Linked DNA regions of Diceros bicornis minor. The main gene of each other region encodes a partner of the protein of the gene in region 2 in a complex. Links are inferred from orthologs where the notes say so. Each region holds a gene or a part of one and is shown on either strand. Other genes may lie near its edges.

Evidence for each region.
Region 1: the proteins of ABCC9 (region 2) and KCNJ8 are in contact, whole or in part, in a cryo-EM structure (PDB 7MIT), measured with the Rattus norvegicus proteins. The link is inferred for Diceros bicornis minor from reciprocal best matches to the Homo sapiens genes ABCC9 and KCNJ8. Residues at the interface, in XP_038963045.1 of Rattus norvegicus: Phe5, Ile10, Tyr13, Asn14, Ile15, Val19, Asn22, Cys24, Phe25, Ala28, Leu29, Val32, Val35, Phe36, Phe39, Phe42, Pro43, Ile44, Phe46, Ile47, Gly48, Trp49, Gly50, Ser51, Lys55, Gln57, Ile58, Asn129, Phe130, Lys132; in NP_058795.3 of Rattus norvegicus: Met1, Leu2, Lys5, Ile7, Ile8, Pro9, Glu11, Tyr12, Val13, Leu14, Ala15, Arg16, Ile17, Ala19, Glu20, Asn21, Leu22, Leu45, Ala46, His47, Lys48, Asn49, Gly54, Arg55, Phe56, Leu57, Asp59, Ile60, Thr62, Thr63.

Annotation. Positions count from the first base shown.
Region 1 is NC_080756.1:40,474,073-40,490,045, forward strand, and holds KCNJ8 (ATP-sensitive inward rectifier potassium channel 8), read left to right. Parts: upstream 1-7,903; 5' UTR 7,904-8,196; intron 8,197-9,048; 5' UTR 9,049-9,118; coding exon 9,119-9,492; intron 9,493-13,372; coding exon 13,373-14,273; 3' UTR 14,274-15,028; downstream 15,029-15,973. UniProt on the Homo sapiens protein: Inward rectifier potassium channels are characterized by a greater tendency to allow potassium to flow into the cell rather than out of it.
Region 2 is NC_080756.1:40,337,449-40,353,652, forward strand, and holds the start of ABCC9 (ATP-binding cassette sub-family C member 9), read left to right. Parts: upstream 1-8,688; 5' UTR 8,689-8,796; intron 8,797-11,419; 5' UTR 11,420-11,480; intron 11,481-12,819; 5' UTR 12,820-12,839; coding exon 12,840-12,981; intron 12,982-15,565; coding exon 15,566-15,707; intron 15,708-16,204. UniProt on the Homo sapiens protein: Subunit of ATP-sensitive potassium channels (KATP). Can form cardiac and smooth muscle-type KATP channels with KCNJ11. KCNJ11 forms the channel pore while ABCC9 is required for activation and regulation.

The DNA.
Region 1 (15,973 bases), about 140 kb from region 2:
AAATCTCAGAGATAAGATGTTGAGAAAGAAGGCACTAAACAGTACCTACTGAATGATTCCATCTACCCAAAACTCAACAACAAGCAAAACAAACTGATGAGGAAATAAGCCACAATAGAGTTAGCTCTGGCAAGGAGCAATTACAGCCTGGAAAGGAGCAGGAGGAAATCTTCTAGGATGATAGACATGTTTTATATCTTGATCTGTGTGATTTGTGGTGGTGGTTATATAATTGTATACACAAGTTTAAAAAAGTGGGAAAAAGAGCAAATTAATTTAAAATAACCAAATAGAACTTTTAGAAAAGAACAAAAGTTACTAAAATTAAAATTAAAAATTCAATGGACAGAGTAAACAGCAGTTAAGCTTAGATGATGAGAGATTTCTTTCCATTGGAAACACATCTAGAATGTACATAGAATGCAGTACAGAACAAGCTGATAGAAAGTATGAAGAACGGTTAGAAGATGTGGAGGATAGAATTAGAAAGTCTGAAATAGGGTTCTCAGGGGGAAAAAAGAGATTCAAAGAGCCAAGAACTATTCCTAAAAAATTCAGACTCAGACGATTTCAAAATTATTGCACTTTCAAGGAGTACGTCAGTCCCTATTCTATATAAGCTATTCCAGTTCACAGAGAAAGAATATGCATCAATTCTTTTTACAAAGACACATAACATTTATCCAAAACCAGGCAGAGATAATACAGAAAGAATAATTCAGACCAATTGTGGTTATAAATATTTATGCAAAAATCCAAAAATATTAGCAAAAACAATCCAGCATTATACTAAAATAGTAATTCACCATGACCAAGTGGAGTTTACTTAGGAATGTAAAAATAATTCAACATTTTTTAAAATCTAGTGACTTAATTTGCCATATCAACTGGCCAAGAAAGAAAAAAAGATCACTTTGGTATTTGCTAAAAGGGCATTTTATGTAATTCATCATCTATCATTGATTAAAAAAAACATAGAAAAGTAGAAAAAGCACACTACCTTAAAATGATAACTATGTAAATTATATATTCCGGAAGCATTTTCTCAAAACCACTAAGAAGAAAAGCATGCCTGTTATCACCAGTATGATTTACTATTGATCCGAAAACACTAACAAATGCAGGTTAAGAAAAAAATAAAATAATAAATAATAAATTAATTAAATACAAATTAAGGAAGTTGTGTCAAAGTTAAATTATTTGAGAAAATATTACGTTTTAAGTGTCATTGGTCTGTGTTAAATCCTTTACATACTCACCTCAGTTAACCTATCCAACTCTGAGAGGCAGATGTTAGTGTCTTCATTTTACAGAAGTAAATTGAGGCTCAGAGTAATTAAGTATGTTGCTCAAAGCCACCAACCAAGTAAATGGCAGAACTTGTAATTTATTCCACATCTTTCTGACTCTAAAATTCTGTGAACTTAAAAGATCATAGTATATTTCATATATCTTCCATAATTCCTCAATTTTTTAAAAAACCATTGACAAATCCATAATAAATTTCTGTAGGCTTACAGAGAGGAGACCATTTTATTACCCCATTTATTCTAACAATAAGTGAGGTAATTTGACATTTTAAATTAGCAACAAATATCAAATATTTAATTCTAGTATGAACCTGTTTAGAAAAATGTCCTTGTGGAAGCTTTTCTGGCACACATAATTTTTTACCTAAAGGAAAATTCAGGTCATTTAATAGTAGAAAAAGAGTTCCTGGCAAATGATCATTGGGGCCAATGAGTCTAAATATTACTTTAAAACTTTCAACCTCTATAATCCCTTCTGCAGCTGGCATTTTTGAAAGGTGGCAATAAGGAGTCACCCTACAGAGTTCTGGAAAATGTCAGGTTTCTCTTTCCAAGTACCACATGAGTCACTGATTTTTCAAAACATTGACGTGAAAGCTTAGCAGTAGATCAGGACATTGTTGGGAACCGCCCTTAACCTAAGAGCGTCAGAAAAGCCTGTGGAGAGTTCCTATAGCAGGACAGATCCCAGAATCATACAAACTTGTCTTTCTTTGGCACGAGAATATCAAGGCATAATTTCAAGGTCTGGAAAAATGAACAGTGACAGCCGCTATTCCTCATCTTCTCTTGGAAAAATCCCTACGAGCTTTATTTAGTACTAGCATTTTGTGCACTACCGGCTGCAAAAAATGACCACAGGTACTCTTTAGTTGATTGAAGGAACCACTTTTCTCTTGGAGACACTATTATAGTACAACAGACATGTTGGTTTCCTGGGTCCTTATTTTATTACCAGCGTCTTGGCTGACTCTCTTCCAGTCCCCGGTATCTTGATTAAATTCAAGAGTTGAAGAGATGCCAGTACAAGTATTGGTTACTTAGCACTCTGAAGGTTAGTGAGGTCTCAAAAATAACACATTATAAAATGATATTATTGTGTTTTCTTTTCTAAGTATTAGATTAGGAAAGATTGTTAAATAATAGTTAAAGGTATCTGTGGGTCTATACCTCCCCCACTTCCCCCCTCCACACCCAGCTCTGAGATCTTTTTGACCATCACCAAGCTAAAACCAGCCCTAATATATTAGTAAGAATAGACATTTATTAAGTACTTATCATGAGCCAGTCACTATCCTAAGCACTTTATGTGGATTGTGTCATCTTGTCCCCATAACAATTCTATGAGTTTCTTATGCCTGAGTGGACAAGAGAATCTCCAGGGGAACTTTTAAATGTGCTTTATTTTATTAGAAGTATTTATACCTTCTCATTAAAGATACTTTCATTTGGGGGCCAAAGATCTTATATCTTATTCTATCCTTGCTCAATAAACTCCTAGAGGGGAATAAATTAATGTAACCAGAGGTTTCTCATGTAGCTGGACCATGGATTAACAATCATCCCTTTGAGATAGCGTCCCAGTGAGAAAAGTATAGGGTTTGGGATCAGATGTTTTGAGTCTGTGGTAACTTTCCACCTACTAGGTATTTGATTTTAGGTAAGTCATTTAGCTATACTCTAATCGACTCGTGCGTAAAATGAAGAAAATAACCTACCGTACAGATGTCTTAAGGATTAGGTCAATGTTTTTCATAGCCTCGGAAATGCAGACTCTCAATCTTCATTCATTGGGTAAATGGAGAGATGGCCAGATCAATGAATACACTTCCTATTTTTCCCATTTCGTCTCCTGCTTTTCCTCTTCTCCATTCGATATATTGATCTTGTTTCTATTCTTCAAACATATCAAGTCACTTTCTTTATCCTTGTTCTTGAGCTGCCCAAACCACTCTTTCCCCAGTTGATCACTTGGCTGATTCTTTTTTCAGATTTCGCCTTCTTAAAGAGGTCTTTTCTGAACTCTATGAAAAATTGTCAATCTCTGGCCCCCATTACCTGCAATACTTATCTTGCTTTATTTTCTTCATAAATCTTAACGCTATTGATAATCATGTAATGCATTACTTGTCTTGTTTGCTAACAGCTTCCTCGCCAACAATGCCTTGGAGCAAGGAATTTGTTTTGTTCACTTAGATATATATTAAAAGGTAGTGATTATCGTTAACGATCCCCCCTTCTTGACTTGCTGATTCACACCTGTGAGCTGGCATAAGTTTGAAGAGTTGAGCATGCAAGCTGGATGGAGGTCTTTTTCATGAATGGTTCTGACGGATATCCTTGAAGAAAAGGGGTGACCTCATTTAAAGGAAAGCGAGGCTTTTTTGCACATAAATAGGTATATATCTCAAAAAGAAATGTTCTCTGAGTTCCTTGGAATAGATAAGGAAGAAGAGTTATATTGTCATTCCCATTTCACGACAACTCCAAAAAAGTGAATTTATAACATGCTGTTTTGATTACTAGTTTATGTAACAGTTTTATTAAGCTGATTTCAAAGCAGTATGTTCCAAAGTGGTTTATATGAGGACACTAATAAAGCAGCATACCAAGAAAATAGACCAACTGTTATTTGGGCTGCTAACATGAATCGTTTCCATTGTCATTTTGAAGACTCTCCAAATTGTTACGTCTAATACGGCTCAGGAAATCCAAGAGTTCAAAATTCACAAGTTGAGTCAAAGGCAAGATCGTCAAATTCGAGGACTTCACCCTTTATCTCAAGCGTAATTTCAAGGACTTCACTGATTTGTATTTGATATTCAAAGCAGCAGACAATTGGGAAAAGCATCAGCCGAATACTTTCTTTGCTTGTTTGAAGGCACCTGACAAACTTTGTTTCTTAAGAGAATGAGAATTGCAGAAACTTCTTTATCCTCAAATAAAATGCTCATAGGATCTAAAAGGAACCTGACAGATGTTGACTTACCAGTGAACAGACATCTTTGAATTGCTTCCCAGTCGTATACATTTCTCTGGTATCCAATATGAGCAGATTCTAACAGGATACCTGAATAGTCAAGAAAATCATAGGATTTAAAAAGTCAGCTCTGACCGAAACTTATTACTGGTCTCCTCTAGGAGTAGCGAATAAATAAGTCACTCCTGAAAGCACAATTAGGAAAATTATAGAACAGTTAAGAAAACACATGTAACTTTTAGCAGACAACGGCAAAATAGTGATTAAATAAGTAGACCAACAAAATCAGCCTGAAGTAGTAAATGTGTTCTTGAAAAATTAATTGATTTCCTTCACAGATTTCTCAGAAGTAAATTTAAATGTTCACTATTTGGACCCTAATATGAGAAGAGGAAGATCAGAAGGGGGAGGACTTAGAGATCAATCAATAATAAGTATTTATTAACCAGCTACTGTGTGTCTAGAAAGACCTTTGTGAGATACAGGTAGGTCTCCATTAAGCTCAAAATAAAGTTGTAAAGAGAAACATAGCCAGCAAACGTCAAGTTTAAACAAGTTTAAGTATTGCTGACCTGGAGTGGTTAGGGGAGTTGCTGAGGAAGGAAGGAACAGAGAGTTCAAAGGGAGGAGAATGTTAGGGTGATGAGAGAGGGGAGACATGATAAGTAAGGGAATCTTTGCAGACAGGAATGGCCATAGACGTTAGAGATCTCCAAACTTCAGGTTATCTATGTGGGTTCTGAGAAATGGTTGCAAGAGAGAAACACCATGTTGCAAGCACTTCTTTCCTTAATTTGGCAAGTATTTATTGAGTACCTACTTCTAGGAGCTAGGAACAATTCCAGTCACTGGGTTTGTAGAAATAACAAACAACTTGCCCTGATGCAGTTTCCACACAGTGCAGAAAAACTAGCTAAAGAAAAAAGACATAAAGGGTGGGTTAAAAAAAAAAAAATCGGGAAGGCAATGGAAAGAGAAAAGAAAAAGAAAATCTGTAATATTTTTATAGTACACATGTTTCATGTTTTTTCTAAATGACTGCTATTTGTTTTGAGGCATTCTATTGTCAAAATTTTACTTAGTGACTTCTTGTTGTTTATTATGTGTATTCTCAGTGACCTTATTTTGAATTAACCAATGTAAATTATTGACTAGTAAAAACTATGGTATAGCTTGTCATTTCAAAAGTCAAAACTTGACTTAAAATTGCATGTTTGGAAGGATATATCTCCTTAGGAAAAAAAAATTGAGTCCTAAATACACATTACAGCAAAAGAACAGAATTTTCATAGGAGTCAGATATGGATTTATGCATTGCAAATCTTCTCATAATTTTCGTCAGCAGTTAATCTCTTCTCACTCTAATTTTTCTACTCTTTCTCTGTCACTACAACAAACATCACAGTCACCTCCGACTTTTTCCTTTTCCAATACTAACTCTGTGTAACACTCCTTTTGTGTATATTTGTATATTGCCCACTGACATTGCCTTTTAGCCTCAGATCTCATTTCTTCTCTAATTAATGTAATAGTTTCCAGAGTCCCTTTCTGCCAGTCACAGAATTTTGGCGCCTGAAGGGATTAGAAATGCAACTCTTAAAGCCATCATAGTCTCTGCTTCCTGATCCATCCTCCTAAAGCAGGCTCTTATTGTGTTGTTCTCTAATCAAAATTTTTCCATGACTTACCACTTACCTATTGAAGACTGTCCAGACTTCTTTGTTGAGCATTTAAGACTGTCTGCATTTTTTTTCAAGGCCTCAGTATGTTTTTCAACCTTACCTTTTCCATTCATTGACGCAAAAGTATTTTTTGAGCACCTCCGTAATTTGAGCTGTGCTAGAGGCTTATGATACAAAGATAAGCCACAGCTCTGCCCTCAGTTTCACCCAAGTGGGGGCGGAACAAGCGCACGAATAACCCATGTGTTGAGAAGAGTGGTGACAGGCTGCCCAGGGAGCATTGGACTCAATCCTCCCATCCTGCTATCTTGCTGACGTTGACCTCATCATTGCTGATTAAATTAGTTTCTGTTACTAAAACATGGCCCACTCTTGTCAATACTCCATAACTTTGTTCATGATGTTCCCTCTCTGTGGAATGTCTTTTCTCTGTTTCTCCATACCCCCAATATATCTGTTTTTCAAAGACTAGATCAGGTGCCACATAATCCGTGAAGTTTTCCTCAGTCTCAATATCTCTCATTTGAATTCCCATGGCACTTGAGTTATATTTCCTTTCTCATTCTAATCACATCCTTGCTTGTATTAGAATTTATTGTCGAAGTCCTGTCTCTCTTTACTATGAGAGAGTCTGCCTCTTAAGAACACCAACTATGATGTTATATATAAACTTAAAACAACTCTTCACATAATAGGCATTCAATGAATGTTCCCCTAGCTAAAATAATAGGGAATAAATTGCACATCAAACTCAACTGTAAAATAGGACAAGGAGGGGATTAACTATACCAATTGATCCCCACAAACGTGTAGTAAAACTACCACAAAAATTAATGTAAAAATTAAAGACAATACAGAGGTCAGCGACGACGAACAGACTAGGGTCCCAGGCTTGAAGCGGTTAAGCAGATCTATCCACAAGGGGAAAAGAATTATTCTTCCTTTGCCTTCATTAAAGACTAATTTTAGGTCTTTTAGTAATTAAATGAACACATTGTTTATGTTCCATACACTTTCTACCCCGAGTCTTGGAAATTTCCAAGAATTACAGTTTCCATTAACACAAGCGCCAAATCAGGAGGCTTGATCTATGGGAGAAAGTACATTTGTCTTTGCTGGCTCCTTTTCAAAAAGCTATAGAAAGATATTTACTGTATAATGTTTCTTGTGCGCAATTGCTCTCTTTTTAACATTCAGGCCATCTAGACAAGACGGAGAAGCTGCAACATTTCAGAAAGCAACCAATTACTGAAGAACGACACTTTGAGTTCTGAAGTGTTAACAGCAGTCCCTGTTTGGGGTAAAATTTCTCACTGAAAGAGACTTCGAGTAGTTTTTCTTTCTTCTACTTTTTTTGTCGTTTTGGGGGTGTGTGTGTGTGTGTGTGTGTGTGTGTGTGTGTGTACCTCCCTGAGAACTAGTTTTGACTGGTGAAGAAATAGTTTACTACGGTGGGTTTCAGAACATCTTCCACCTGTATCATCCCTACCAGATGGAAATTTAACGTAAATAAATACGTGTGCACACAGCTTGAAAGCCTCAGAAGACTATTTTCTGATCTCTATATCTGGTTTTATTCAATCCGAAGTAGCCCAGTTTATCTACCCAGGTTACAAAATAAAAATAAAAATTAAATTCTCTTTACGTCAGTGGACTTGGACTGAATCACTTTCCTCTGAACAGGGAGCCTTTTACAGACGTGCGGATCACGCTGGCGGCTGGGGGTCGCAGCTACCGGGAAAAGAGCTGGTTCTACAGGTCCCGCCCTCTCCGTGTCGCCCCTCCCTCTGGACCGCTCCCTACCTCCCCCGGAGGCGCCCTCCCTCTGCACCCCCTCCCGCCTGTGGCTCGGCCACTTCGGCGGCCTCAGAGGTCTGGCGCGCGTCAAAGCCCGAACTGGGAGGCTGAGTTGTGGAGCATCATCCCCAGGCTCCTCTCCCCCCAGCCCCTCCTCCGCCCACTGCAGCGGCCAAGGGAGTAGAGCTGAGCAGGGGGAGGGGAAGATCTACACCCATCCCCCTTCCTCCAGCCCTCCCCGCGTTCAGATTCAATTGCACCTTTTATTATTTTAACTCGTCTCGCTAGGACACGCGGCCCCCGGATCTGTCCCTCCGGCATTCGCGATCCCTGCTCCCGCGCGCCGGCATGGGAGAGCAAGGGACCCGCCCGCGGTCGGCCGGCGTGTGCGGGGAGGCGCAGCCGCAGCGCCCGCTGCCCAGAGTCTGTAAGTTTCAACGCTCCTCCCGGGGCGGGGAGGGGGAGGCTGTCCGCGTCCCCGCAAATGATTTAAAATGCAAAACACGGCAGAGGTTTACAGTGCTGGATGAACTTTTCTGGGCACACTCTTTTAATTCTATCCGCAGCCCTCAGCGTATTGTCCGGGTTTTTTGTTGCAGCTTGTACGTGTGATCCCTTCGTTGTAAAGAAGTTTCAATTTGTAATATTATGAGTTCCAATGGGAATTTTTTTTTAATACAAAACTCATACTTCTTTCAAATTTAAAATATTTCTTCATTATTTTCAAGTTACATAGCACATTGCTTATTATTTTGTCAAATTACACTAAACACGTTATTTATAGTGCGCCAGAGGCTACGGCCTTTTCTTTGCCTACTTCTAAAAATAACGGAGGAAAAATTTCCCGTCTTTACTTTTAATATTGCTATATCATGTAAATACTTTAGTAAACAGATCGTGATACCCAGCTGGTCTTAATTTTCGTCATAGACGCCGCCCGCTTGTATCCATGCACTAATCTGCAGACGCGGTTAATCTCAGAGAATTATCATTGAGCCTGCTGTTTACAAGGCTCCTGGTTTTGTTTAACTAAGGCTATGCCCATATGTGTTCAAAATGATAAGGACCATTGAAACAGTTCTGATTCAGACCAAATAATTTCTCCGGGATCCCAGAACCGAGACACAAACTAGGGTCATGTTTAGATTAATAAAATCATACCTGTAGTTTTGCATGTCACCTCTGGGGTACAGACATACCCCAGAATCAGAGGACTGAAGAGGAGAGGAAATTGGGGGTGGGGAGGGAACAGTTTTTAATCATCGTTTCCCTCGTGCAGGAGGACGGGTCTCGAGGAAAGGAAAGGCAAGGAAGAGACAGGTGGATAGGCTGGCTATGGTGACAGGACGATGTTGGCCAGAAAGAGCATCATCCCCGAGGAGTATGTGCTGGCTCGCATCGCCGCGGAGAACCTGCGCAAACCGCGCATCCGAGACCGCCTCCCTAGAGCCCGCTTCATCGCCAAGAGCGGGGCCTGCAACCTGGCGCACAAGAACATCCGTGAGCAAGGACGGTTCCTTCAGGACATCTTCACTACCTTGGTGGACCTGAAATGGCGCCACACGCTGGTCATCTTTACCATGTCCTTCCTCTGCAGCTGGCTGCTCTTCGCCATCATGTGGTGGCTGGTGGCCTTTGCCCATGGGGACATCTACGCTTACATGGAGAAAAGTGGAATGGAGAAAAGTGGTTTGGAGTCCACTGTGTGTGTGACTAATGTCAGGTAAGAATGCAGTGGGATAAGGCAGGGGTTGAAAACAGAAAAAATATTCAACTGCCCTCGTGACGTTGTTATTTTGTTGAAAGTGAAATAAAGGGTTTGCTTTAGTACCTTCCAAAACAAAAAAGTAAAAAGACCAACACATTAAGAAACTTTGAAATGCAGCTTTCTGGATGAGGAGTCTCTGAAAATGTGGAGCTTCAGTGCCTTGGGCTAGCCTTGAAAATATTATACCGGTTATTTAAAAAATGGTTGTGGTTCAAAGAATTCCATAGGGTGCCTTACTCAAAAAAAGTACACAGTTTTCAGCACGAAAGAGCTTCTGTCCATAGTTCCAGTGTCCACAAGTAAATATCTCTGATCAACAAAAAATATTGTGTTAATGCTACTAATATTTTTCCATGACTTCTCTTACCCATGACATTTTCAGAAATAATAAGAAAAATGGGAAAACACTTGTGAGAGGTGTCCTAGATTAAAATGCACTAAAAATGAAATAAATATAAGGCCTTCTTTATCAAGATTATCTTAAATAGCTGATTGCCTGCATTGGATTCCAAAACTAAAAGTTATGCTAAGATTCAGAACAAGAAAAAATTAATTTTTAATGGAAATTGGTCCAAAATTTTCATGGAAGAGATTACGTAGACTTAATGTTGTGGCTTTCTTTCAGAATTGTAATAGAATAGGAACAAGACAATTCTTAGATTGCCTAACTTTGCTTCTTTCTCTTATACCAAGTATTTCAAAGATAAGTAAAGTGAATTTGGTTTCAGTAATGCTCCTCTCATATTTTCATGTAGCCTGATAACATTTAGTTGGGGTGATTTGTCTCTTAATTTGTTTTGTTGGAAAATGGAAAGAGAGAATTTATATCAATTGCAAACATGTTCACTCTGAAGCGAAACAATAGTAATAATACTAGAAACTTTTCCAGGACATTTTCTGAATAACATTCCAAATTCAGTCATGCCCAAAGCAAAGCTACTTGAACGAGCACCATTCTGCCAGGAAACTGTAAAGAATGAGACCTTTACTGACCCTGAAATCTTATGAAACTAGCATACCACTGCAAGAAGCAGAAACTCAGACTGTGAACTTGTCCATCTTTCCATTTCCTAAGTAACTGCAAGGCTAGCATATCAAAGAGGGATGCAGTGTTTGTGTGCAGAGATTAGACTCCACAGATCTCAGCTCAGATTTTGAGGTGGGAAAACTATATTGAATTCATCCATTGCCTTTACCTTCGAGTAGATATTATTTTCTTGTCTTAAACTTGTCACAAACTTTTATCTCAAAGAAAATGTAGGTGAAAAGTGTAGGTGATCATCAGTACACCAGATAATAAAGGAAAAAATTAAAATACTATGTTTAACAGGTACTTGTAGGTCAGATAGCATTATCTGTAATATTTCTCTTGGTGAATCATTTTCCTATCAAGATAAATTTTTAATAAAGATGCAGTAGACACTCATAAAAAGGGATAAACGAAAATGACAAACCTTGAAAATAAATGGCAGATTTTATTCACAAGACAAATATATTGGCTTTTCCTGTGAAAAAGAAGTCGTTAAGTCATTAAGGAATTTATTAAAGGATAAATCCTCAAAGTGACATCCTTTCAAGGATTTTTTAAAAGAACTTTACAGAGTGCATTGGTTGTTAAAAGCTGTTTTGCATGTTCATTCTGCTGATGCTTTCCTGCTGGTGTGAACATTAAGTCATGAGAATGAGAAATGGCGTCACAAATGCAATGAGACAAAGTTGATTTTATCAGCATGACAATTTTAGCATTTTAAATTGCACTTATTTAAAAAAAATTATTTGACATCTTTTAAGGTTAAAATTTTACTGGTTTTATTTTAATGTTATGGCACTATTTATACTTTAATCTCAACATACAGTTTAATTGTAACAAACCATGCATAATAAAAATTTTCTCACCAAAAATATAGAAACAGAAAAATCTCTATTCTCTCCCAAAGTGGATTTAAAAGATGACTAATAATATTTCTAATTCTCTGCATTTTCTTTCCTTCCATAAGTTCAATGTCCCACCATTTCATCAAAATTGGAAATAACTTATTGTGATGGATACTCCCCAGTATGTCCAAATAACATTTTACCATCCTCGTTTTAGAATGGCTCACTTTCCCTTTCATGTGGATCACTTTCTAACATGAGTCAGAAAATAAACCCACATATTTCCTCTTATTATTCAGCCTGACTCCCTCTCTAGCAGAACAAACAAGCAGCTAAACACTTTCATCTCTTGAGGTTGTTTAGCATGACAGGTGTCCACAAAAGGCTGGGTCTTGCACCATATAATGTTTAGAATTAAGTTATTTCATGAAATAAACAATATACAAAATACGGCACGTGAATGGCCTCCCAAGCCATTAAAACAAAACATTTGGGAATATTCATCATTAGACTGCTCCCTGAAGTCTGTATACATTATTAGAAATCAGTGTTGTGTCCATGCCCCACCCCCGGGCTCCATTCTTATTCTTTGCCATGGTTTTGGATCACATGACATATGTGGTGTGTAGCTAGTGCAAAAAGCAGTTATTGTGGTTTTTCGTGAATCTTTTAAAACAAAAGGAGTGAAAAAGGCAATTTTCACACTCCACTTAAAATCTAATCAAAAGAATCATCTATGTGTGCTTGCTTACCCTTCATGGTATCCTACCAAAGTGCAATGTGTAGAGTCAGTATTCATATGTTTAAACATTTTGCTCATTCATTGTGTGTGGCATTAATAGATAGATAATACTTTGACAGATGGACTATGCATGGCTTAGCGCCTATAAAATTAGGGAAGTTTGAAATTGGAGTTGGGGCAAACACAGGGCTAACATTGTTTCCATTAAGAAGCCATGGAAGTATTGGTTATATAGTTACATGAATAAATTAATGGTAAGAATAACCAAATGTGGTGCTTCTCAACCAGGGGGATAAATCAGAATCACCTGAGAGATTTTGAGAAGTCTTACCCAGGTCTACCCTGAACCTACCTGAATGAATTCAGCAGTGTTCATTCACCGAGATATGGAAGAAAAGTGCAATTTGAAAAAGCTTCCCAAGAAACTCTTGACACTTGTTGACCCCTTCCCTTTACCTTTTCAGAGCACTAGGCCAGAAGTGAGAGGATTCAAGCTCTTACTAATTATATGATCTTGACACAGTTATTTACTAATCTCTGCCTCAGATTCTTCCTTTAATGAAAGAATTCGGTATTCTCTGGTATTCTCTTTCAATATTCTCTAGATCACTTAGAGAACAAAATGAGACAATTAATAAGAACACATTTTTTTCCAAATGGCAAAACATTCTTTTCTATTAACAATAGTAGCATTTTTGAATGATGTGTTTTTGTACCACTTTTTAGCACTGTGCTTTCTCTATATAAGATACACAATAAGTATTAGTTAATAAATATGATTTTTAAAGGTTGTAAATAGTAAAAAGTTGACTCTTACTCAGTATTTTCCATATGACTCAAGTCACTTAAATACAGATATGCAATAGATAATAAACATCTACCTGGTAGAAAGTTTTGCAAAGTAAACTATGCCTATAAATATAAATATGTGTATTTATAATTTTAATGCTTTGACATAAATAAGCCCATCATTACATGACCTAGAAAACATTAATAGAATTGTATTCCAGAAGTCTGGATGTGATGCATGTGGGTGAGAAAGAGAGAGAGACAAGTATTTGTGTTTAGAATCAGGCATTGGACAAGTGAAGTTGGCTAGTCTTTCCAAAAGCATTTAATAGCCTTTGGGAGAAAAAAATGAAAAATTCAGCTTGGCATGTTATTTCATTATTCAAAATTTGACCTGATGGCATTGTTTTCTGTTATCATTCCTTACAGGTCTTTCACCTCTGCTTTTCTCTTCTCCATTGAAGTTCAGGTGACAATTGGATTTGGAGGGAGAATGATGACAGAGGAATGCCCTCTGGCCATCACAGTTTTGATTCTGCAGAACATTGTGGGTTTGATCATCAATGCAGTCATGCTGGGCTGCATATTCATGAAAACAGCTCAGGCTCACAGAAGGGCGGAAACTTTGATTTTCAGCCGCCACGCTGTGATTGCTGTTCGAAATGGCAAGCTGTGCTTCATGTTCCGAGTGGGTGACCTGAGGAAAAGCATGATCATTAGTGCCTCCGTGCGCATCCAAGTGGTCAAGAAAACAACTACCCCTGAAGGAGAAGTGGTGCCTATTCACCAGCTGGACATTCCTGTTGATAACCCGATTGAGAGTAATAACATTTTTCTGGTGGCTCCTTTGATCATCTGCCATGTGATTGACAAGCGCAGCCCCTTGTATGATATCTCAGCAACTGACCTCGCCAACCAAGACCTGGAGGTCATAGTAATTCTGGAAGGAGTGGTCGAAACTACTGGCATTACCACACAAGCAAGAACCTCCTACATCGCTGAGGAGATCCAATGGGGCCATCGCTTTGTGTCTATTGTAACCGAGGAGGAAGGAGTGTATTCTGTGGATTACTCCAAATTTGGCAACACTGTTAAAGTAGCTGCTCCAAGGTGCAGTGCCAGGGAGCTGGATGAGAAGCCTTCCATCCTTATTCAGACCCTCCAGAAGAGTGAACTGTCCCATCAAAATTCTCTGAGGAAGCGCAATTCCATGAGAAGAAACAATTCCATGAGGAGGAGCAACTCTATCCGAAGGAACAACTCATCCCTCATCGTGCCCAAGGTGCAATTTATGACTCCAGAAGGAAATCAGAACACATCGGAATCATGACAGCAAGACAACCCCAAGAAAGACTTTTATCAAGTATTAACAGTTTATGCAGGGCACTATCAGACTGTACCAGAGCTGGAATACAATAATTTGTCCTTCTATATCTTAATGCACTAAATGATGTTCATATTCAAACAACAGCACTTTCTGTGTCAATAAACGGTAACACACAAGGTGGAGGATTCATGGCTCACACTTGTTTCATACATGCAATATTTGCTGTGATAAGCTTAAGTTATATATAAGAAATAGTATGCTCTAATTTCCCTCAATTTGAAGCACAAAAATTACATTAATAATCATAGACCTTGAATACAAAAGTTGGCCAAGGAATGGTTCTGTTTGAAATGCTTAGTGGGTGAAACCACAGATCCTCTCTGTTTCTGTTGTTGCCTCTGGAAATGCAAATAGAATGGGGGCAAAACCCAAAATTGTGTTGTTGACACCTTTTGTTTATCAACCAGTATGTTGCCTTCTCCTTTTTCCATGATACTGCACCTGGTAAGAAGCCTGAGGCAAAAACTGCTTAGCTCTATCTGCTTCTGAGCAGATTCTATTCATTCACTTGGTTCTTCACAATGACCTCCAGAGGTTTCCTCATCCTCCTCATGGCAGCCGTTGGCAGAACTGAGCAAGGAGCTTTGGAGAAAAGCTAAGAATATTCCTGTCTTATTTAGGACTGGATTCCCAAAGGTGATAGTTACTTCTTTTGGCTTCTCACTTCTTCTTAAGAGCTCCCACAGGGAAATACTGTATTGACTATTTTATTAAAATATTTTCTTTGTATTCATTGTAGTTTTGTGATTTCTCTTTCACAAAATTATCCCTAGTTGAAGCTCAAGAGAAAAACATTTTTAGAGGCATGTGAAAGAGATATCATACAGCCATAACACTTACCTCTGAGAGCGCGCTCTCTCTAAGAGTCCCTCTCTTTGAGATCTATTATTCCTAGGGAACTACATTTTTTGTTTCATTTTGATTTCATTTCATTCCAAGTTTTGAAATGTTCTCTTGGCTTTTCTATCTGAGCCTGATGTATCATGGAAATCCTGTAAACTTTTTTCTTTGAATCTCTGACTCCCCCTCTTAAAACTATACTTCCTTCCCAATATATCTAAATTCAGTCCTTGCCTATGTAGATTTTGCATTATCTCAATTGCTAAAGTGAGATTTTTCTATCAAAGCTTGATTTACTCATCCTTAGCTCCTTCTTCTTGAAGGATGGGATGAGAGTGCGGAGAGAAGTACTAGGTTAATAAACTATGGGTTTATTCTTATTCTTTAGTTCACACAGCTAAACATCATATAGCTGTTGTGTAGCCTTTTACACAGATTTTTGAGTTTGTATTTATTTTACTTTGTTTATGAACATTGAAATAGGCAGGTAATCATGAATATATTCAAATCCTGTCTTAAACAAAAGACTCATGATTCTAACCAGATGAATGGAAATTGTTTATCGTGTTAGTTAATCATTTCTGAAAATTCTAACCACTCCCTTGAACTCCAGACTCATATATCAAACAGGTACTTGAAACTCCACTTGGATACTTAATATGCATTTAAAATTTATTGTGTCTAAAACCAAATGTTTCATTCCCACTAACAAAACCTACCCCCTTCTCCTAGTCTTTCTTCCAATCACTCAGGCCGAAACCTAGGAGTCATACTTGACACCTCTCTTTCATACCTCACATGCC
Region 2 (16,204 bases):
AAAGAGCAAACTAAAGCATTGGGCTTTTATTGAGTAGGTCATTCGCAAAATTTAATAATGTTAATAATCACCTATGATGCTTGTAAAATATATTGATTTCTTGTTGGAGGGCCCCTTCTTGAGCAGTGTTGGGCCCAGGAATCTGCACTTTTAACAAACATGTAGGCAGATTCTGGTGGAGGTCATTGGCAGACCACACTTGGAGGGACTGAGAAGGAGTGATGTGATCGGATCTGTGTTTACAAAGATAAGTGTGGAAATTATGGAAGAAAAGTGGAAGAAGACAGTTCAGCCACAGAAGCACTAGTTTGGATGTATCAAAATAGTCTCAGTGAGAGACAACAAGAGTGTGAGTTAAGGCAGTAGCAGTGGGAAGGGAGAGGAGAAGAGAGAAGTGATAGGTAACTTACGAGGTAAATCTGACAGGCATTCATGATCAATTGAATGTGTGTGTTGGAGAGTTGATTCAGAGATGTCAAAATTGTATGAGTATAGGGCAAGAGGCATCACGAGCAGAGACAGGAAATCAGAGGAGTGTAGGGTGGTGGGAACAGTAAGTTCACTTATAGACATTGTGAGTTTGAGGTGCACTATTAGGACTTTTTTCTTCCATCACAGATAGCAGAGTCCCTCTCTGGTTAGCTTAAGCAAATTGAGGAATTTACAGGGATCCTAGGACAACTTAAGGAATCTAAGAGGTATGCCGTTGGCTTTGATTAAGGGACCCAAATACCATCCAGACTCTCTCCTGTCTCTAGTCTTTGCTCTCTGCAGATCTTCTTCCCTTCCTTCTCTATTTCTATCAGAGTCAGTCACCTAGGAAGAGATTAAGCTCTCTTTTTTCTCTCTTTTCTTTTCAGTTCCAATTTCAAAATATTTGGGACAAATCCTGATTGGTCTAGCTTTGATCACATAGTCATTACATGTCAAAAGAGCTGTGGTTAGGAGGCTGGGGTCACAAACCCACATTGCAGCTCCTAGAGCAACCAAGTAGATCAAGAGAGGGGAATATTCCTAGGACAAGACACTGGGCGGATCATATTGAAGTATTAACCAAAGGTGCCTGCAGGACATCCATTTAGAGAAGTCAAACTTGAAAGTATAACTAAGGGAAGTGTTATTTGCTGAGTGCCTGCTGCATAGCAAACATTTTACTTGGTCTCTATCTCATTAAGTCATCCAAACAATCCCCAGTGGTAGCTACCACATTATTGTGCCCATTTTCAGCTGAAGAAATTGAGCTCCAGAGAAGTAAAATAACTTTGCCTGAGGTCACACAGCAGGAAGTGACAAAACTTTTAGGAAAGTCTATACTTTTTAACTGTTGAAACCATATTAGCTAAAGCCATGAGGGTGAATAAGATCTCTCCCAGAGGGTGTAGATGGTGATAAAGGGAGAGATCCTAGAGTGGAATCCACATTTAGGGAGTAAGCAGCGAAAGAGGAGTCATTGAAAGGGACTGAGGAAAGACCAACTATTAGCGAAGAAGAAGAATTTGATGTGTTAAAACTAAAAGAAGCAAGCTTTCAAAAAGGAAGACTTGAGTCAGCCCTGATTGCCTAGTGGTTAAAGTTTGGTGGTCACCTCTTCAGCAGCCCAGGTTTGCTTGCTAGTTGTGGATCCACACCACCCGTCTGTCAGTTGCCATGCTGTGGCAGTGGCTCACATAGAAGAACTAGAATGACTTACAACCAGGATATACAACCATGCACTGGGGCTTTGGGGAGAAAAAAAGAGAGGAAGACTGGCAACAGATGTTAGCCCAGGTTGAGAGACTTTCCCTGCAAGAAAAAAAAAAAAAAAAAAGGAAGACTTAATTAAGAGTGTCAAAGTGGCAGAGAGAAGCCAAACAGGAATAAGGCTGAAAGAGGCTGCAGCATTTGGCAATTAAGGAACTGCCTGGTGCAATTACACTTCTGAGAATCTTCTGTTCCCTGCCCCATTGTGACTGTGATAGTTTAGGCCCTCACCATCTCTCACCTGGACTACTGTAAAAGCCTTCTGTTTTGCATCCCTGTCTCTGTTCTCATCCCCACCAATCTATCTTCCACACTACCTACAGAAAGAGCCTTTTAAAGCAGGGATCACAGCATCTCATGCTTGCTTAGAAAACCTGAGAAGAAGCTCCACATTGTTTAGCTTAAAATATATCTCCATCACAAACCAGTCTCTAGAATCCCTTTCAGCTCACTGTACTTTTTTTTTTAAACATTTATTTATTTATTTTTGTGAGGCGATCAGCCCTGTGCTAACATCTGCCAATCATCCTCTTTTTTTGCTGAGGAAGACTGGCACTGGGCTAACATCCATGCCCATCTTCCTCCACTTTATATGGGACGCTGCCACAGCATGGCTTGCCAAGCAGTGTGTCAGTGTGCGCCTGGGATCCCTACCGGCGAACCCCAGGCCACCGCAGTGGAGCGCGTGCACTTAACTGCTTGCGCCACTGGGCCGGCCCCAGCTCACCGTACTTTTAATTGTGCCAGATGAAGCTACTTCGAGTTCAAGCATATGAAGTCTTATCGGCTTCTGTGCTTCTGCACATGCTGTTCTTACTGCTTGGGAGACTTTTTGATCCTCCTTTTTCCCCAATTTTGGCTGGTGATGGAAAGATCCTGTATCTTGGCTGGTGCCAGGGCAAAACACACAGAACTGTAAACCTAAAAAGTTGGATTTTACTGTATGTAAATTTTACCTAAAAAAGCTCTACTTAAAAAGAAAAGATATCTGGATAATCTCCGAATATTTGACAACTAAAACATTTCTAAATAATCAATGAGTCAAAGAAGAAATTTCAAACAAAATTAGAAAATACAAAGTCAATGGCACAAAAATTATTTTTTAAGCTAAATAAAATTAATAAATCTCTAGCTAAACTGATAAATAAGAAACGAGGGATAAAATGCAAACTACCAATATCCAGAATGAAAGAGGGGATATCAATAAAAATCCTATAGACATCAAAAGGACACTAAATAAATATTATGAACAACTATGTACCAAGACATTTAAAAATTAGATTAAATGTATGAATTCCTTACAAAGCACAAATTATGTAAACTGACATAAGAAGAAATAGAAAACCTGAGTACCACCATATCTAGTAAAGAAATCAAGTTCTTAAATAAAAGTTATTCTACAAGGAAATCTCTAGGCCCACATGGCTTCAACTTTAAATTCTATCAAAAATTTGAGGAAGGAATTAATAATCTTATAAAATTCTTTCAGAAAGTAGATGAGATGGGAATACTTCCAAATTTATTTTATGAAGCCAGAAAAATCCTGATCTCAATATTGAATGAAGACATTGCCAAAACAAACAAAACTCCCCAAAAAACCCAAAAATCAAAAACCAAAAAGCAAAGAAAGGAAAAGAAAATTTTAGACTAATGTCCCTCATTAAGATAGATGCAAAAAGTCGAAATAAGATATTAGTAAATTGAAGCCAGGAATATACACAAAGGAGATGATATCATGACCAGGGGAAATTTATCCCTGGAATGCAAGGTTCGTTTAATACTCAAAAATTTAACAATTCATTTTGGCCTATTAACAGAATAAAGGAGAAAAAGCACATGATCAGCACAATAAATGCAGGGAAAAAATGTGACAAAGTTCAACATCCATTCATGATAAACTTTCAACAAACTATGAATAGCAGGAAATGTCTCTGACCTGATAAAAGGGATCTATAAAAAACCTGCAGATAACATTACACTTAATAGTGAAAAATTGAATCCTTTTACCACTCAGACTAAGAAAAAGCCAATGATATCCACTCTCATTATTTCTATTCAACATCGTACAAGAGGAGCTTGTATGATGCCAGTGCAATAAGGCAAGAAAAACGAAACAAGATACACATAAAGAAGGAAGTAAAACTTTAGTTGTAGATGACATGATCATGAATGTAGAAAATCTTGAAGAATCTGCAAAAACACTACAACTCATAAATGAATTTAGCAATGTTGCAGGATACGAAGTCATTTTATATATTCTAGTAATGAACAACTGGAAAACGATATTGAAAAAATACTATTTATAATAGCATTAAAATCATAAAATGTTTTGGGATTGATTCAATGAACGATGTACAAGGCACATACACTGAAAAGTTGAAAACATGTCTGACAGGTAAAAGAAGACCTAGATAAAGAGATATGTGTATTGTGTTCATGGATTGGAGGACACAAGATTGTTAAGATGTAAATTCTCCCCAAATTGATTTTATAGATTCAATACAATCAAAATCAAAATCTCCGCAGGATTTTGTAGAAATTTTTAAGCTAATTTTAAATTTATAGAGAAATGAAAAGTGCATTGAACAGCTCAAATAATCTTGAATCTTACCAGGCAGTAAGCTGCTTGATATCAGTCTTGGCAATGATTTTTTGGATTTGACACCAAAAGCAAAGGCAACAAAAGCAAAAATAAACAAGTGAGACAACATCAAACTGAAAAGCTTCTGTACAACAAAGGAAACCATCAAAAAACCGAAAAGGCAACCTACCTAAGGGGAGAAAATATTTGCAAATCATATATCTGATAAGGGGTTAATAGCCAAAATATACAAAGAACTCATCCAACTCAATATCAAAAATCAAGTAATCTGGTTAAAAAATGGGCAGAGGACCTGAACAGGCATTTTTCCAAAGAAGACATACAGACGGCCAACAGGTACATGAAAAGGTGCTCAGCATCACTAATCACCAGGGAGATGAAAATTAAAACCACAATGAGATATCACCTCACACCCGTTAGAATGGCTATTATCAAAAAAGACAACAAATAACAAGTGTTGGTGAGGGTGTAAAGAAAAGGGAACCCTTGTGCACTGTTGGTGGGAATGTAAATTAGTACATCCACTACGGAAAACAGAATGGAGGTTCCTCAAAAAATTAAAAATAGAACTACCATACAATCCAGCAATATTACTTCTGGGTATTTATCCAAAGAAAACAAAACCACTAATTTGGAAAGATATATGCAGTCCTATATCCACTGCAGCATTATTTACAATAACTAAGATATGGAAGCAACCTAAGTGTCCACTGGCAGATGAATGGTTAAAGAAGATATGGTATACATACACAATGAAATATTACTCAGCCATAACAAAGATTGAAATCCTTCCATTTGCTACAGCATGGATGGATCTAGAGGGTACGATGCTAAGTGAAATATGCCAGACGAAGAAGAATATCATATGATTTCACCTTATATGTAGAATCTAAAAGAAACAAAACAGTGAATAGATAAAACAAAACAGAAACAGACTCATAGAGACAGAGAACAATTTGGTGGTTGCCAGAGGGGACGGGGCTGGGGGAAGGGAGAAACAGGCAAAGGGGATAAGAAGTACAAACTTGCAGTCATAAAATAAATAAGTCATGGGGATGTAATGTACAGCATAGACAATATAGTCAACAATATTGTAATAACTTCGTATGGTGAGAGATGGTAATCAGTGTTAGGGCGATCATTTTGTAATGTAAATAAATGGCAAATCACTATGTTGTATGCCTGAAACTAATACAATACTGTATGTCAACTATACTTTAATAAAAAATAGATAAATAAATAAAGATGGAAGCGCCATGAAGGGAGAGACTCTGGAGGGCTGACCCATCACTGACCTCTGCGTCAGGCAGGACATGGTGTGTGCTCTAACAAATCTTTGTAGAATGTATGAAAACAATTGTTTTTATTTTTTGTAAAGGCAGGACCACTATCATTTTTAAAATGACAAATTGAGAAAACATTTCTTATATATATGAAACAGGATTAATATCCTTCTCTTATTAAAAGTTCATGCAAGTTGTAAGAAACTTCATTAAGACCCGTAAGATGGACAAGTACGTGAGCGAGCTATTCACAATAGTGGAAATACAAAGATTAATGAACATTAGAAAAAAATGTTGAATTTTAATAACAGAATTGCATGTTATCTGTCAAGTTACAAGATATTTTTAAAATATAAGAATACTCAATGTGGGTTTGGGTATAAGTATAATAGGTCATCTCTCTCATACAGTTAGGGAGGAGTTAATATGAATGTTTTAGGAAATAATTTTGCATTCTATATCCACAGCCTTAAAAATATGTACTACTTTTGATCCTGTAATTACTTTTCAGAGACTATATCTTAAAAAAATTATCTGCTACAAAGAAAAAAAACTTTATGAAAATGTTCCTCAGAGGGTTAAATATGGTAGTAAAATTTTGGCAACTATATGTTCAACAATAGGAAAATGGATTTAAAGTTATGGTATAGCCACACGATAGAATATTATGCCGCCATTTAAACTATCTCTATAAAGATTTTAAAATACCATCGGAAAATAATTGTTTTAAAAGACATAGTGAGGAGACAAATTATCTTGTGATCGCCAACAATATAAAATATGCATAGAAAAAATAATAATGATAGCATATGCATTAGCTTTTACTGAAGGCGCAGGCACTCTTGCTGCACTTTAAAGGGATTATCTCATTTACCCTCACAGCAAACCTATGAAGCGTATATTTTCTTACTTGTCCCATTGAACTGGTGAGGAAACTAATACACAAAGGGATTAACCAAGTTGTCCAAAGTCTCTGATCTGACGGGTGGGATAGCAGAATTCGATAGCAGGCTGGCTCTCGCCTCCATGCTTTTAATCACTGCGCTAAACCGCTCGTTTTTGTTAAAACATAACAAAATGTTTTCAGTAGTGTTACAAGGGGCTCACTGGTCTCCCTTACACTTTTCCATAATTTCCAAAGTTTCTATAAGAAACATGACTTTTAATCATTATAAGTGATCTTAATCACAGCAATTTTTTTTAAATCCCAAAGTCAGCTTGGTTTTGTGTAGTCACACTCAGACTGTATATCTGGGGATTCTTTGCACCACCCCTCCCCCAGCCCCGATTTCCAGTTCTCTCTCCCCAGATGCCCTGGGGAGCCTCTGGTCCCCCTTCCGGCTTCTTCACGGGGTTTCCCCGGGTTCCACCCACAGGACCCGGATCCCCATGCTAGAAGCACGCTCTTTTCCCCCTGCGCCTGCGTCGCAGCAAACAGCTCTAGAGTGCAGTTGCCAAGCTTTCAAAGGCCGCAGCACCCGAGTCTTCGGGACCCTCCCGGCTGCCGCCCCACGAGGCCCCGCAGACCCCTAGCGGCCACGGGTTCAAGCTCAAGTCTCTGGCGGAGGCCGGGCGCTCGCCCGAGAACGCAGCGACCTTCCCGGGAGAGAGAGGAGCCCGCGGGAAGTCCCCCAGGGTTTGCAGGGCGGGGATCGGTCTCTGCCCACAACGTCCGAGAGGCCAGAGGCCGCTGGGCTTTAGGGTTCAAGTCCGGGGACCAGCCCCGGCCGCCCGCGGTCCTGGAGCGGTGCCCCTTGGGGGTCGCGCACGGAGGCCGCCTGGCTGACCATCCTTTATCAGATTAGGACCGTTGCTGAAAACAGTGATTATTTCAAGCTGAGAACTGGCCCCTGAGAAAATCGAGTGTTATTTAAAGAGTTGTCTGGGACAAAATTTACAGCTTGCGTCCTGGGGGGAGTTATTGTGGGGTGAGTGTATTTTAAACACGTTATCTCCTTGTGAACTAATTCTCTCTCTGGTCGGGAGCAAGAGTGGGGGGAACTGTTTGCGCAGCCGTGGGATTCAAAGTCCCCCTTTCGGGGAGCTAGAGTAAGGGTCGCCCTTCGGTGGCGCTGCGACTGGTCCAGAGGACTAAGTTTTCCGGGTCGCTGGGGCAAATATTTCACTTGAGCCTGCCTTGCTCCTGGGAGACATTCGCACGCCCTAATACAGCCCGGCAGCGGGTTCCTCTGCCTGGAAGGAGCCCTTCATTTCCCAGGTCCGATCACGGGGAAAATGGTGAAACCCCCAAATCCGCTTCTTTTTGTGGTTAATAGAAGGGCGCATAGAGAGCCTGGGAAAAAATTTACAAGTGCAAGTGAGAACCTTGCGAGTTTTGACATTTGAAAACCCGACTCTGGTGACTCATTGAATCCTATGTTGTAAGTTTCAGCGTCTCACGAAGTCTGGGGGACGCGTAATGCTTGTGTTTGTAAAATGTTCGCATCGCGCACCCCAAGTTTGCCGCTCGAATGCGGAAAGCTGGGCCGAGCGGGGGTGGGGAGGGTCTCCAGTCCGAGGCGCTGCGCTCGGGGCTTCTGCCCAGCTTCCTGCCTCGGAGGAGTCGCCGCGTCCGCCCTAGCCCAGAGCAGTTTGTGCAATTCAGAAACTCGATAGGAGGCAGCAGCTGATCTCCCACCACCCTAAAAATAATCCGCTCCGGCGCCCTGCGTGCTTCGGCTAGGGGAGGAAAACTCTGCCTTCCGAGTAAGTGAGTCCGTGTCTTTTACATAAATGTCATTTAACAATTTTAAGAATAAGTGTAAGCTGTCGATCTCGATCTAACATTTCGGCAACCGAAAGGCGCCCGCGCACTCTCAAAGCGCCTTTGCCTTCACGGTCGCTATTTCTAGGATCAGGACACCCGGCCCCAGCCGAGGAGAGAGGGCGTGGGGATCAGGTTTCCAGCTTTACTTACAAAACTCTGCCGGCTCCTACTTAAACCAACTGGAGATAGTGCAAGGAGTTATTATTACTTTTTTTCTCTTCGACATTTCCTGTCTTGTTCATGAAGTCGCTTTCTATCTGCTTAATTTTTGTTACTCTTTACTTTTTAGGAGTTCTGCGTCCCGGTTTGAAATGTACACTTAAGACAGTGTAGGAAGCCGGTGTTTTGAAGGTAGCGCAAGTGCACCAGTAGGGGTGTGAAGCAGCGTCAAACGATTGCTCAAGGTATTTATTTGTTTTTATTTGTTCAGTTTGGGATAAAAAAAAAAAATCCCATTGAAGTGTCCGTCTAAGGAATCTTATCTGCTGAGTAGTTCCAACATTTCCTTTGGTCTGTGATAGAACTTCAGTGGGTGCATTCAGATCAGGCATTAAATCAGAGGTCAGTGGTCATTTTTGCTAGTGATTTTCCTACTTGGATCTGGCATTCATAGATAGACAGACAGACAGGCATCTTTTAGTACATATTTTACGAACCATCTACTGAATAACTTCAAAAACTTATTACATTTGTTTTCGTAAGTGATCTAATCCTGAAAATGCCCTAGAGAATGATAAAGCCCTAAATAATTTCTTTAAAATGTCATGTTTCTGTATCACAACATAATTTGGTTAGTCTCTGAATAACTAAAGAACGAGTTATTTTGTATATAAGAATGAGAGCTTTTATATTGCTTTTAGCATGTTTTCTTCAGGTGTTTCCAGCATGTTAAATTCTCTGGGATTTCTACTCCGTTAGAACTGACGCTTTCTGCTGGATGAGCAGAAAAGAGTGCTGGTTTTCACTTACTTTATTCTCTATTCATCAACTAAATCCAAATTTTGTAACTCTTGAGGGTGTGGAACTTCATACAGTGCATTTCAAAGAATAAGAATACTGAGGGTAGTATCCTTGCCTTGAAATCGTAAATTTGGTCATCAAGGAGTATATTCTTTTTATGTTTTCTGCCCTGCAGACCATCCCTATAATCAGAGTTTCACTTTTGATGTTTGTCTTCCAAGTCCATTCAGTCAAGTTCTCCAACCCTATCGACTGTCATAAACACTTGAACATCTTTCCCTGGGTTTATGCTCGTGGGGAGAAAAATGTCTTGTCTTCCTATCTGGCCTCTCTTCCCTCTCCCGCTCCTCGATGCTTGGGCCTCTGTCTGTGCTCAGCTGAACTAAACAGCTCCAGAAGGGGCGGGGCTGAAGGGAGTCACGTGACAGAGCTTAGCCAGCAAGAGCAGCAATTCGTTCTGTTCCCAAACCGTTCCTAACGTAACCAGGGCTCTGGGAGGGAAACCCTGAATGACAATTAGAGATTTAAGAATTAGTTAAAAATCCTGATTGAATGAAATGCGTTTGCTAAACACAATAATTATGAACATATCTACAAGTTTACTCCTTCCCTCTTTTTGTCCATGTCGAGTTGTAATATGGGCTGGCTGTTACAATGCACACATGCACATGGCATGTTGGAGAGGAGGCTAAGGGACAAGGGGAAAAGGATGGAGGAGGAGGCAGGAAAAAAAAAAGCGAAAGGAGAGATGTGGTGAGAGGTAGTGAGCAGGTTGGGAGCCAGGGGGAAATATGCGAGTAGAGATTATGGTAGAAGGAAGAAATCATTCTAAAGCTTTTACTTGATTAATCTGAAGTATACACTTTAGTATGATTATGTCATTGTATGTTTCCCTGTCTGGCAGATCATAACCTTTACATTATACCAAGAACTATTGGGATTGGTGTGTATATGAGGAGTGTAATCTGATTTGTACAGTCTAAGACCACAGGGACTGTTTCTGTCATGCACTATTGGATTCCTAGTGCCTAGCGTGTGATCAATATCAATAAGTATTTTTACAGTTAATTAATTAGTGGCCTAGAATCCCAGTCATCAGGCATATGACTAAAAATGTTCTTTGACTTCTTCGCGTTATTATAGTTCTCTGATATTTTCTTTCCACAGTTACACACATTTATCCAAAGATTACTTAATTGGTAGATTTCAAGATTGATTAAATACCAGGCAGACAATGCTTATAGCTAATGAAATATATGTTTTACAACTTCAGATTATTCTTTAGCATCTGGCTCAATGATAATGATTAAATATCAAGGTTTATAAATGTGGCCAATTGGAATATTATGATTTTGGATAAAATTATAAAATTAGCTTAAGTAAAAATTTTCTTGTTCGTTCTAGGAGACAGTTTATACATGGCTTTCAATTAAGAGTGGGCTTAGAGTTTCCTTTTATCATTTCTACTAAATAAAGGAAGTCGTCTTAGAAATTCCACTACTAGCTATTATATTTGTTTCTGCTTTTTCCACCTTTTTTTCCAGTTTTATTGAGAAATAATTGACATACATCACTGTATAAGTACAAGGTATACAGCGTAATGGTTTGACTACATATATTGTGAAATGATTACAGCAATAGGTTTAGTTAACATCCATCATCTCATGTAGACACAATATATGATATAAAATTTCCATTTTACTGTTATTTAAAGAATCTCAAATCCTTTTTAATTCTTTTATCCAGCTTTGAACCTTAATAGTTGGTAACAATTTGCCAAGTTCATAATCTCATTTTGAATTTTTTAAAAGTATAACTTGTTTTTAAAAATGAGAAAAAGTCTCAACTAGAGAGCATATCAATGATTTATCAAAAAAGGGCGTTACCAGAAATAATATGCGGGAGGAATTCCATGTAAGCATTTACAGACTGTGAACACATAGGCTTTCTAACTAGTTGTTCTACTCATGTAATGCTTTATAAAACTTTTGCTTGAAATTTGGTTTCTCCAATAGTTTACCTACTGTTGCCAATCTTTTCTGTGTAACACTCTTTGTTTTTTTCTAGGAAAAAATATTGTTTGTGACCATTGCTAAATCAGTTATCAATGAAAGGGAAGAGAGAAAAGGTACAACTTTAGTTATTCAAACTTTTGCCAACCTTTAATAATCTAACTCAGAATCCAGTGTGACAGAAATATGGAAAAGTAACCAAGTCCAGTGAGGTTAAATTCTTAAACTGCTACTTATTTTAATAAGAACAAATAAGATATTTTCTTTAAAAAATAGGTTGGAAGCTACGTGATGCAGTGGGAAGGACATAGTTTATAGTCAGACTTGTGGGTGTGGCTCACTGCTATTCTGCTGGTTGGCAAGTTACTGAACCCTGCTGAACCTCATTGTCCTCTTCTGTAAAGTATGAATAACTCCACTAACATTGCACGGCTGTTCTGAAGACTAAATGTATGTGAAGTGTCCAGAATTTAGTAGGTATTAAATAAATAGTAGGCATTATAAAAGAAGTTTTCAGAATGCTAAAGCTCTTGCTGGAATTTCACAGTAGTGTTTTGATGGAGTAGACCCTTGCTCCTATACCATCTGTTTCAGCACAGCAGTGAAAGGAATTCATTTAAAATGTAAGTCAGAGAGTGTTACTCCTCCGATCAAAAACCCCCAGTGGCTCCATCTCACTCAGAGTAGAAGCCAAAGTCCCGACAGTGGCCAACAAAGCCATGGGTGATCTTGTCCTCTGTTTCCTCTCTAAACTCATCTACTTCTACGCTAATGGAATACAGATTCCAATTAAAAGACATCCTTTGTTTCAAAACTCAGAGTACATTTCGTATAAGAATATTCTCTGACTACAGGACCTGTGTAGTTTCATTAACTTGTCACTTGAGTTATATTCATTTGTCTTAGCGCTTGAGTCTAATCTTCAAAGAAAGGCTAATTGCCATTTGCAACCACAGTGGTCTCTGTGTTTTAGTATTTCCTGCAATTAATGAAATGTTGCAGTAAATTGTGTCCAGCTGAAGTTGTTTGTTAATGCATTTTCAATGAATGAACATGGGAAAGGATTTGATATGACACCACTTTGTCTTTTCAGTCAATAGTTTCATTGTTTTCTCCCCCTTTTTCTTATATATCACCACTTTTGTTCTTTGAAACCATTTTAGTCCAACAAACACTCCTTTGAGGTACCACTATTGGTAGGTGTTAATTATTATATATTTTCCAAATTAAAATAAAATATTTTTCTCTGGAAAAAAAACACTTGAAAGGGAAAACTTACAGAATGTATAAGGCCATTATAAGAAGCTCTCAAATGGCTCTGGCATAAGATTTCCTATTTCCTCGACTGCAAAAATAAAGGAGATTAATTTTATGATGTAATCTCCTCTTTAAGGTTATAATTTATGAAAAGGAATTTAATAATAAGAGGTTCTTTCTCTTTTCTCTCTCTTTTAGAGTAAACCATATAAGAAGAAATGAGCCTTTCATTCTGTGGTAACAACATTTCTTCATATAATATCTATGACGGCGTATTACAAAATCCTTGCTTTGTGGATGCCCTCAACCTGGTCCCCCATGTCTTCCTGTTGTTTATCACTTTTCCAATATTGTTTATTGGTAAGTGATCTGCTGTCCTATATTATATCACCTCATGTTTATAAAAAATCTTATTAATGGCTGAGATTTGGTATAATGTTGACTTAATTTCTTCAACATGAAAACTTGTAGGTAAGTCTGTGAGAAAAAAACAAGCAAGTATTTTGTGTTTTCCAATGAAATATATTTTTGGCATATGATATTCCATAGGTAAAATAGAATGCCTTGTAGAAATGGCCTTCAAAGAGCAGCAGCAGTTTTTTAAAAAGAGAAAGAGAATTATATGAGATGGATCTAAAATATTTGTTTAGCACTTGCTTTGTGCTAGGTGAGGAGAATGGAAAATGGGTAAACACACAGTACTTGCCTGGAATATTCACTGGAATTGTCCAGTGAAATAGATGTGTCAAAGTCAAGAGAAATGACTATACCACATTGTAAGCCCATTTACAGATACAGGAACAAATTGTCTTGGGCATTAACCTGCGAGATCAACTAATTCTTCTTGGGGCTGGTGGGGAAGATTGCGTAGAGACTGACATGTGTGGGGACTTGAGGATGCAGAGCCTGCAAGTTAAAGTAGGAGTGATGAGGGTGTGTTACAAGTAGAAAGAGTGCATTGCAAACTATTTGGAAAGGAACTAAAAATATAGTTTTTCCTAGTATTTTACAGTCTACAAATACACAAAATCTAATTATTTAGAGCAATTATGTGTAATTTGTGTAATTTCCCCAAAACAACCAAAATAGAGCTTTTAACTTTTTTAAATTATAAAATAACTTTCATATATAAAAATGTCAGAGACTAATGTAATAAACATCCATTGAACCTACCACCACTCATCTTAAGGAATTTGATAGTAAGAATATAAGTGAATCCTTCTGTGTGCCATTTCCTGATCTTGTTACTCTTCCCACAGCCTACATTCTTATCCCTTCGAAAGAGGTAACCACTATTTTGAATTTGTTTAATATTTCCATGCATGATTTTGCTCATAAAAATAGATGAAAAAGCTATCCGACTGATTTTCTTAAGAAAGTTAGCATAATTTAATGATCTGCTTTAAAAGAGGGTTTAAAAATAATTTGTATGATTTTATTTCTTCATTTAACAAATATCGAGAAACTACTATGTGCCTGGCGTTCTAACAGTGATCAAAAAATTTCCATTATATGAGATATCGTATAATGCAGATGCCAACATAACTCTTGGTACATAGTTAGTCATGTTAAACAAATGTATGGATATTAAATATATTGGGACTAGAGTGGCCACATATAGAAACACTAGTTTTTTATGTGGTGTTATTTTATAGGACATTAAGAATGCCTTTTGGCCAAAAGTAGAACATCTATTTTTTTTATCATAATTCTCACAATTAGTAATTCACTTTTGACATCTAATTAGCTTCTTGAGAGCAATTACTGTGAATTATTTGCATCTCTAGCATTGAACACAGGCTGGCAAAACGGTATTTGAATGAAGTAGAATTAGAGTGAAGATCGTTAAAGGGAAATGGTGGAGAAAAATGCAGACCGTTCATCTATAACATTGGCTACTTGAGTTAGTGAGAGATCATAAATACTAAATCTCAAAGAAGTATCAGGTATAAGGAAAATTATAATGTTGAACAAAAGACATAGAGCTTGCCTGCAAGAGTTTGCGGCATAAATTCTAGTGGAGTATGTTAAATGTAACTAATCTTCCAATAATGAAGTTCCTTTGGGAACAACTAAGACATATAGAATCAATTTTATTTTCAAAGAAGGCTTTAGGAGTCCCTTTTGTTCATACAGAAATTCCTTCCTGCAGTGTTTTAAGCACAAACTCCCATTCATTCTTGAAGTATGTGAGGCTTCTCTACAATCAAAAAATAAGAAAAAAGGTGAAAAAAGGACACAAAAGTGGGGTGCTGTCCTAGCATGCTGTATATGAGTTGGCATTATTCTAACTATAGTTTTGAGGGGAAACCATCAAAATTTTACTAAAATGTAATCTTGAATTTTTTCTTCAGTGGTGAGCTCAAGTTGAACCTATAATGTTCTTGATCCTGCTTAAAAGCTCCTCAATGAATAATACTTTAGTTTTCTTTGAGAAAATATCACTACCACTGTTGAATAGGGCTGGCCCAGTCATAAGTTACCATTTTTCTCACATGATATGCATATGATTAAGAGTTAACTCAACTAAGGAGTCCTATATTTCTTCACTAAATATGGCTATTTTGTTAGTCCTCCCACAGATCCCATGTTTTGAAAGATTTTAGATATCAAATTTCTTTTATTAATAGCATCCTTAAGTTGGTTTCTTTTTGAGTGAATCAGAGACCTGTCAGTAAGAGCTGTGATTCACATGAAATAACCATGTTGTCACCCAGAATTGGTGTTACTTCCAAGCAATGCAACAAATGTCAGTGTGTTAACTTAGGCAGTCTTGTAAAAATTAATTGAAATTGTTATTTTTTTTGAAGTAATGAAAACAGATCAGGATTTCCTAGAGAGCACTAAGTTTTCATGAACCCCCAAAGCGTATCACAATGTAAATTATTTCCATGATTATAATTGATCCTTTTGTTTATCTCTTTACTTTTTTCTTTTTTTTCAGGGTGGGGGAGTCAAAGCTCAAAAGTACAAATTCATCACAACACATGGCTTCATTTTCCTGGACATAACCTGAGATGGATTCTCACATTTGCTCTCCTATTTGTACATGTTTGTGAAATAGCAGAAGGCATTGTTTCAGATTCGTAAGTTAGTTGATATGATTACACTATACTAATGGGTATATTGATACAAATAGTAGTTAAGAACATACAAAGTCAGGCTTAATTTTTTACTTTTAACTTATTAGAAACAACAGCTATCACCCATTATATAATAATCATGCGTTTTTTCCACATTTTTGTGTTGCTACACAATTTCTCTGATAACACAAGTTCTGTGATTTGTGCTCATTCATGTGCTTTCTGCTTCTTTGCTCCTTCATCTATGTAGCCCTTGCAGAAAGTTCTCTCCTTTTAAATACTTTGATGTTTACCTTATCCTTAAAAATAGTTATAAACAGAAAGATTGTCTATATTGACATATAGCTCTAATAGCTATAATCAGTTATATTGACGTATAGCTCTACTAGCTTTATTTTTATATGTAAATATATAATCAGTTCTCAGAAGTTTCAATTTATTTTGTAAAGATAGATGAGGCAGGCATTAAAGAAGTCTGAGAACCAGTAGGGATATAGCTA